Linked DNA regions of Tribolium castaneum. The protein of the gene in region 2 interacts with the protein of the main gene of each other region in a pairwise test. Links are inferred from orthologs where the notes say so. Each region holds a gene or a part of one and is shown on either strand. Other genes may lie near its edges. The genes, in order: dsh and N.

Region 1 (4,337 bases), on a different chromosome or scaffold from region 2:
TTAGTAGTTATTTTTATTTTACATATGAAATAAAACGAAATAAATAAGTACTTATTGTAAAAAAAACATGAATCCTTTGGGAAACAGTAATAGAGGTTGATTCAAAATGTTGTTGCATAATTTGAATCACAAAAATTCCTCTACAAATGATAATAAATCTAATGGTTTTTGTTGGCCTGTCTCACTTAATAGAAAAATTACAGCTTTCCAAAAAGTCGGTATGAAAAATAATTTTTGGAGAATATCTTCCTTATTGATTATCCAATTATTAAACTTGACAATGTAAGAGACGAAAAGACGCTCTTTAATGTGATGTAAAAGACGCTCTTTAATGTGATGTACACGGAAGTTGTACATTTCCGATTGCAATGCGTCCCTTCCAGTTTTTTGACCATAACTTGATTTTTCACCCACTTCTTTTATACCAAAAATTGAAAGCCCATTCATTTTTCTTTAGAAAAGGGACACTTGTTGCATATCGCTAAAATGTACCGTTCTCGAGTTATTTGCGTTTAAAGTAAACTTTATAAAACCAAAAATTATGAATTCTGAGTGTTCCTTAGTTAAGAGTTTAGTTCTTCAATATCTAGTACACTAAGTTTAAATTAGCAAAAACAGCTACAGAAAAACAAGTCATCTCGTAAATAATTATAAAAATGTAAAAATTTTGTACCAATTTTTTTTGTGGCGAAGATATTACAGAATTTCATTTGCTCATATGTCACCACCAATTAGTAAAGTCAACTTTGGAAAAAGCGTCCTTAATTTTAGACGCTGAAGTGGAGGTTGTACTCTCTATATCTCAAAAACTAGTAGAAGTAATAAAAGTTTGGATAAAATAAGTTAATTTATTTTGACTTCCTTGAGCTTTATCAAGAAATATTTGCACAACTAGCAAATTCGCACCGTAGTTATGTTTACAAACACATGTTTTTAATTATTAAAATGTTTTTAGTTAGTAAGTCAATAATCTGTTTATCAGTTAACACTTCTCTTGCGGCTTTGTCATTATCAACCCCAACATATTCCTCAAAAGTTCGTTATAAACAGAAAATTGCGTCAGATTTTAAGTCAAATTTAGTTCGTTATAAGCGGTAAAAAATACATTGAGCTTTAAGGCATTGGCAACTTAAAAAACAACTTTGTCTTAAGTGAAGACTAAACACTTATTACAATAGTGAAAACCGTTTCTCTGTAACTGCTCTTTAACTCAAGTTATTTCGATTTAAATTAGAAATCATGATGTCGTAACCGTCTCCAGCATTTGGTCCGATATAAAGATCAAATGGTTTTTGACTTTTAGGTGACACTGTCAGAGTTTATAAAGATTTCTCAAATCTCAATTTCTCAAAAAAGTTTTTGGTGATTGGAGGGTTCAGTGTTACGTTGTGACGTCATGATTTCTTCCTTTCAAAGCGATTATCTCGCTTATTTCTCATCGCGAAAAAATTTAAATAGAACCTAAAGATATTTTCAATTTCCGTTGAAACATAAAATACGAAAAATAAGTTGCCAATGCCTTCATGGAATGATTTTTTTTGGTGCTTGAAAAATAGTACATTATAGCCGGAAGTTCGTTATAAGCAGACTCCACTGTATAGTGATTTAATTACCTGGGTCGATAGGCCTCACTGGTTCAGTTCTAGGTATAGTGAAGTAGCCTTTGGGGTTGGGATCCCAGCACTTCGCCACAACCAGCTTGATCGGTCTGAAAATTGAATAAAAAAATTGGGCTTATATTTTTCTGATACCAACCCTGGTTTTTGGACCACTTCTCGCAAAACCCTAACCGCCTCATCATTTGACATATTTTCAAAATTAACGTCATTGACTTGCAAAATCATGTCGCCTGGTTCTATTCTACCATCAAGGGCGACAGCCCCCCTATAAAAATTTACATCAAATTAATGAGACACACAAAATAAAATTGTGATGTACCCTTTCATAATGGATCCGACGTAAATGCCACCGTCGCCCCCTTTATTGCTTTGCCCCACAATTGAAATTCCTAGAAAATTAACCGTGTCCATATTCAAGGTCACTGTTATAATATTCAAGGACATTGTCGAATCTGTGATGCTGGAATATGAGGATGTTCGTGACATTGCTTGCATTCGTTGTTTTCGTCGTCTTTGCGGTCTTTTGCGCCCCGCGACATGTAACCGACTCACACTGGAGCATTCTGAGAGGGCCGTGTGTCTTCCGGTTGTCTCAGACTGAAAACTTGTGGTCTCTAAATCGGAACTGACAATTGAAGCGGTTTCGTAAACTCTAAAATTGGGATTATTTACCACAGACTTATAAATATAAGTGAAAACAGTACCGTGGAAGGTGTCCGTTAATTCGTGATGAGTATTTGTGGTGGCGCCTTCCCTGTCTCGAACTAATGATACTTTCAGTGTCGGTGCAGATTGATTCGGGGGCTTGGGGGGGCACACGTTCCGACTGGTGTGTGACACTGTCAGTGCACTGTGAGCCCCCATCCGATTGATTTGAGCCATCGGCTGAAACTAACTGTAGGGCAATTAATGCGCCCCCTTCTCTAGCGAGCTAGAAACGTACCCAACTAACAACACGTCCGTTAAAACACGGCAAATGTGCGCTGTCGTCGATGATTTCCTCTTTAACGACTCTGCAAACGAATTGTTACGTTTTAATCACCCGAAGGGTGAAACACACGAGAGAATTACCCGAAATCATCGTCCATCGACTTGAAAAAGAATTTGTAATTGGGGCGATTTAACACATTTTTAAAGTCAGATAAGGTCACTTTTTCCGGCGAAATCGGTATCTTTACTAAATAGGGGGTCTCCTCGTCGTCTATGTGATAAATAACTTTCGTTTCATCCATTATTTCACTCGATTTTCGCGAAAAACTACACAATTTGACAGGAGAAAAACACTTCAACACAACATGGCCGACATCATTAAAGTCATCCCCACCCAAGGGGATTAAAGAGATCAAGACAACGGATAAGGGGGCATTAAACCCGCAAAGACGCGGCCCCGCGAACAGCCCCCTACCGCTAGTTACAAGTTTTGGCTACGTGGTGCAAAGGGCCCGTATATTTTGCGAAAATTGGTTTGTTGTGAAAGGGTAGAGTTCTTTATTACCGGCCGATTTTTTCTTGATAGAATTGTTGTAAATTGGCGAAAATGTAACCAATTTAGGCGCATGATTGCGAAAAAGATTAATAAATTGATGAAAAACACATTTGCGTTTAAAAATTATCAATCGATGTCTTTTGAAAAGTTGTTCATCCGATATTGTCACTCTAGAGCTGTAAAGGCGGTTGCATAATCACAATATTTTAGAGCAGTATTTTACTATGTTCATTTTACATATAGATTATTTAAAATAATCAACCGTTTAATCAAAATTTCGACCAAGTTCATCTCATGATTAGTAGAGACATGGTTGCGCCGTAACTCTTTGGAGGAGTGGGAGAACCGCCACGTTGATATGTCACAAGATTACAAACGTGTTGTTTACATCGTGTTTTTTGTGGTTTTTAATAAAAAGTAACGATTGTAACCCAGTGGTGATGACTATTAGTTAATAGTGTTGTTTAGCTTGATAACAGTGCAGTGAAAAAATCAGATACACCACTAGGAGGGGAATTTCAATTTTGCAGAACCAATAATAATTTGCAGATCAGGGCTTTAAAATAACCCTTAAAAACATCCCCCAATTCCCTAGACGCTAGTCACCCCTTTTTTTAAATTTTAAATGACACTCAATTTTTGGAATAGAAAGAAAAAGCTTGTCTAACCGTAAAAAAATGTTGATTTGCATTTTGAAATTTTTAGTCATTGGGAGCCTTTGATTTTAAGCCCATTTGATTTAAACAAACAAACAATTCAATTTGACTTGCAAAGGTAGAGGTCAAAACCAACATTAAAGATGTTTATGTTTAGGCTTCATTCCCTAGTCGCTAGCCACTCCTTTGACATTTTAAATACCGCCTTCTACATTTTGAATCATTATTAGAAAAAAAAATATATTAGAAAGAAGGGAAAACTAATCTAATTGTAGAGAAAACACATAATTGTAGATTTGTTTTTGAGTTAGGGGTGGTTTTAAAAAGTGGGGGGTACAATTTAAAGTTCAAATTAACGGGATGATGTAACCTAAAACGAAGAATATGCTAGTTTTAGACTCTCGCCTTCCATGACGAATCTATATGTTCTTTATTTAAATTAAATTGGCTTAAAATCAAAGGCTACTAGGTATTACGATCAAAAATAAAATTACACCTAACTCAAAAACTTTCCATAAGCTATGTTTTAGCTAATAAATATCGAAGTCTTTTAATATGAACAAAATAGTAATTCGT
Region 2 (3,829 bases):
GGTTCTAGTGGAATAATTGACGATCTGGACACGCCCACTAATGCGAAATACGTGGTCCTTGGTTTTATAATCGTGTTTGCGTTCAGCGCTGCCATTGCTGTCATAGTAACCACGCAACGGAAACGCGCCAGTGGCATCACGTGGTTTCCGGAAGGCTGGTCATTGGCCAACACTGGGCCGCGTAGGCGGAGCCGCAGACGTGGCCCCGAAGGACAAGAACTGCGCAATATGGGCAAACACCCATCGGTCCCACTCGAAATTGATAATCATGGGCAAGGTCATGTGCCACAGTGGTCCGACGATGACTCAGATATGCCACAACCGAAGCGTTTCCGTGGCTTGGAGACGGGTTATGCGAGTGATCATACGGGGATTACCGATTACGAGGAGGCGGAGCCAAGGGTGTGGTCACAACAGCATTTGGAGGCGGCTGATGTTAAACCAATCTCGATGCTGACTCCGCCCCAAGGCGATTTGAATGATGTTAACGCACGTGGACCGTGCGGTATGACTCCAATAATGGTGGCGTCGACACGTGGCGGTGGCATGGATACGGGTGAGGATGATGAGGATGATTCAGCGGGGGCGGTGATTCAGGATTTGGTAGCGCAAGGGGCGGAGCTTAACGCTACCATGGATAAAACAGGCGAGACGTCGTTACATTTAGCGGCACGTTATGCCCGTGCCGACGCCGCTAAACGCCTACTTGATGCCGGAGCGGATGCTAATGCGCAGGATAATACGGGACGAACGCCACTGCATGCAGCTGTGGCGGCGGATGCGTTGGGGGTTTTCCAGATTTTGTTGCGGAATCGGGCGACTAATCTCAATGCAAGGATGCATGAAGGGACGACGCCCTTGATCCTGGCAGCGAGACTAGCTATTGAAGGGATGGTTCAGGATTTGATTAGTGCTGAAGCTGATATTAATGCGGCGGATAATTCGGGGAAGACGGCATTGCATTGGGCCGCTGCTGTTAATAATGTGGAGGCGGTTAATGTGTTGCTGGCCCATGGGGCCAATCGAGATGCACAAGATGATAAGGTAGGTGGGATAAGTGTTAAGCACTTTTTTTAATTTTCTCAATTACGGCTAAACTATTCGAAAAAGTGGCACTATTTTATTTTTTACCTATGTAAAATGATCCGGGGAATCGACTGGCGTCGACAAAATTGCCAAATTCCTAATAGTTTTTTAGTTATGAATTTTTAAAATTTTACCTATTTTCGATTTTATTTGCAATTTTCTCGAAAACTATTAGTCGGAGAACAATGATCTTTTTTGAAAAAGATAGATAATTTAAAGAGCTTTCTAACGATAATACAATAATAATAATAATTTCACCTAATTTCCGAGCACATTTTTGCGAAAATAATTGTTGATATTTTAGCGAAATTTTCTCCAAATCGAAGCGAAATAATGACGCATTTCACAGAGAAATTTTTAGTTTTTTATTTTTAGCAGTCGAAAGTGTTTCAAACCTACAATTTGTAAAATCTTTTTTTCAGGATGAAACGCCTCTGTTTCTTGCGGCAAGAGAAGGCTCATATCAGGCGTGTAAAGCACTACTTGAAGCTTACGCTAATCGGGAAATTACCGACCACATGGATAGATTGCCACGAGATGTCGCCAGTGAACGTCTACATCATGATATAGTGCGACTTTTGGATGAACATGTCCCAAGAAGTCCACAAATGGTCAATGTTATACCGAATAGTTCGATGATGAGTAAGTTTTTATTATATGAATATTTTTCCACCAATCAAAAAAATTGTTACAGCATCACCTAGCGGCCAATTACAATTACAACAACCAACAGTAATCGTCCCAAAACGTCAAAAATCAAAAAGGCCGAGTAAAAACTCAAATAATAACAATAACGCATCGTTGGACCCGACAAGTCCCGAAATGGAAACGATCAACACCGGAAGTATCCGACGTAAACCGAGCGTGAAAAAATCAAAGAAACCAACCCCACAACAAGAAATCCCCCAAAGTGTTGATTCAATAACTTCAACCTTAAGTCCAGTTGAATCCCCAATGACGACAAATCTACCGAGTCCTTACGACACTGCATCGATTTACTCAAATATGGGCCTAACACCACAAGGACTTGAGTCATTGATTAATAAACAACCACCAAGCTATGAAGATGTGGTTAAGAATAATTTACACGGTCTAGTTGGCTTGGAAAATTACTCGTTCAATTTGGGTAATTTCCACGATACGATGATGATGCAGCAGCGCCAATTACAACAAGCCAACACCTTAAGCCCACCCTATTCGAATCAATCCCCGCCCCATTCCGTGCAATCGAATATGTCGTTATCGCCGCAAGGTTATAACGGTTCACCATCCCCGGCCAAGACACGCCCCTCGCTCCCGACAAGCCCCACCCATATAGCGGCAATGCGTGCCGCCACCCAACAGAAGCACGGAGGCGTGCCACAAGCACAAAATTTACAAATGGGTTTTGATTTTAGTCAAACTGGATTGGAGTTGCCAATGGCGACATATCCAGGATTGGTAAGTGGAAATTTACAATTTCAACAACAAAACTATTATCTGACTCCGCCCTCACAACACTCCGATCTCTTACCGGATAATTTTCCAACACCGAGTCCGGAAAGTCCGGGTCACTGGTCGTCGAGTTCACCCCGGAGTTGTAATTCGGATTGGTCCGAAAATGTCGCCAGTCCGAATAATACTTATGGGGGTGGACATCAGACTAACAAAGGCTCGGATGCGATCTATATTTGAGTATAGAATTATATGCCAAAATTTACTAAATACTACGTGCCTTGAACGGTTGTTATTGTAAGATTTTTTATGACACAATTGTACATATCTTTATTTTTTATTAATATTATTAGTAGAGAAAGAGACAACTTAAGCAAGCTCCAATCACATGACATTCGATTAATTAGGGTTTTTTTATTTTAGTAATTCTCATTTAGTTAGCGTGTCTGTGATTCAGATATTAGAAAAAGTAATAAAAGGTTCGCTCGCTCGCTCAAAGAGGGCGTACGTATCGTAATTTTTGACAATTTTTATAAGACAATATATTTTAGAATAAATTGTTAATATTTTTGATAAAGATATTTAGGTAATTTTTTAAACCAGTTTTTAAGTACATTCCGTTGTTGGGATCAAGTTTTAAAGCGTCTTTCAAATTTCTGTATATTTTAAACCAGTTTGGAAGGTTTCTATTTATATACTACTTCCTTTTTTTTTAATTTTTTTATAATTGAATCCTTGTAAAAAGTACTGATTAGGCCACTAATGATGGATTTATTTTAAGGTTCTCTTTTTTTAGTTGAAACATATTGTACTAGTTGTTAAGTAAACGCAAAAATTGCTTTTGTACTATATACATAATAAATTCTTTTTTTTTTAAACATTTTTCCTAACCTCCAACTCAAGACACTTGTGTCAAATCCACAATATTAACAGTTAAATTAAAACAAAGATTGTTTCAATACGTGTTTATTTCTAGTTTTAATAAAATAATTAATACTTAAAGTAAAGTACGTTTGGAAATGTAATCAAATGTTTTGGTCCGGAAAATGAAACCTAACCCTGCCATAAAATAAATGCAAAGTATTTACAAAATTAAGTCTCCAACTTATCACAAAATTTGTACAAAATATTGCTTATTTATTTATTTTCCCGTCCATTCGCTCACTTTACCATTATCGAAGACGAGATTATAACGTGGCAATGGTACCAACCGTCCACGTTTCATAATTTCCATATTTTCACCCGGATAGTACTGTAATAAAAATCCCTAGAATAATTGAAACAAAACAAAAACAAAGCCTACCTGACA

Evidence for each region.
Region 1: the proteins of N (region 2) and dsh interact in a two-hybrid assay, tested with the Drosophila melanogaster proteins (3 studies listed by BioGRID). The link is inferred for Tribolium castaneum from reciprocal best matches to the Drosophila melanogaster genes N and dsh.

The regions. Positions count from the first base shown.
Region 1 is NC_087401.1:8,565,107-8,569,443, reverse strand, and holds the start of dsh (segment polarity protein dishevelled homolog DVL-3), read right to left. Parts: upstream 3,085-4,337; 5' UTR 2,852-3,084; coding exon 2,691-2,851; intron 2,633-2,690; coding exon 2,563-2,632; intron 2,515-2,562; coding exon 2,324-2,514; intron 2,272-2,323; coding exon 1,939-2,271; intron 1,885-1,938; coding exon 1,756-1,884; intron 1,709-1,755; coding exon 1,614-1,708; intron 1-1,613.
Region 2 is NC_087400.1:104,034-107,862, reverse strand, and holds the end of N (notch), read left to right. Parts: coding exon 1-1,044; intron 1,045-1,508; coding exon 1,509-1,728; intron 1,729-1,780; coding exon 1,781-2,760; 3' UTR 2,761-3,398; downstream 3,399-3,829. Other genes in the region: protein FAM91A1, read right to left, coding at 3,662-3,772, 3,824-3,829. UniProt on the Drosophila melanogaster protein: Essential signaling protein which has a major role in many developmental processes. Functions as a receptor for membrane-bound ligands Delta and Serrate to regulate cell-fate determination.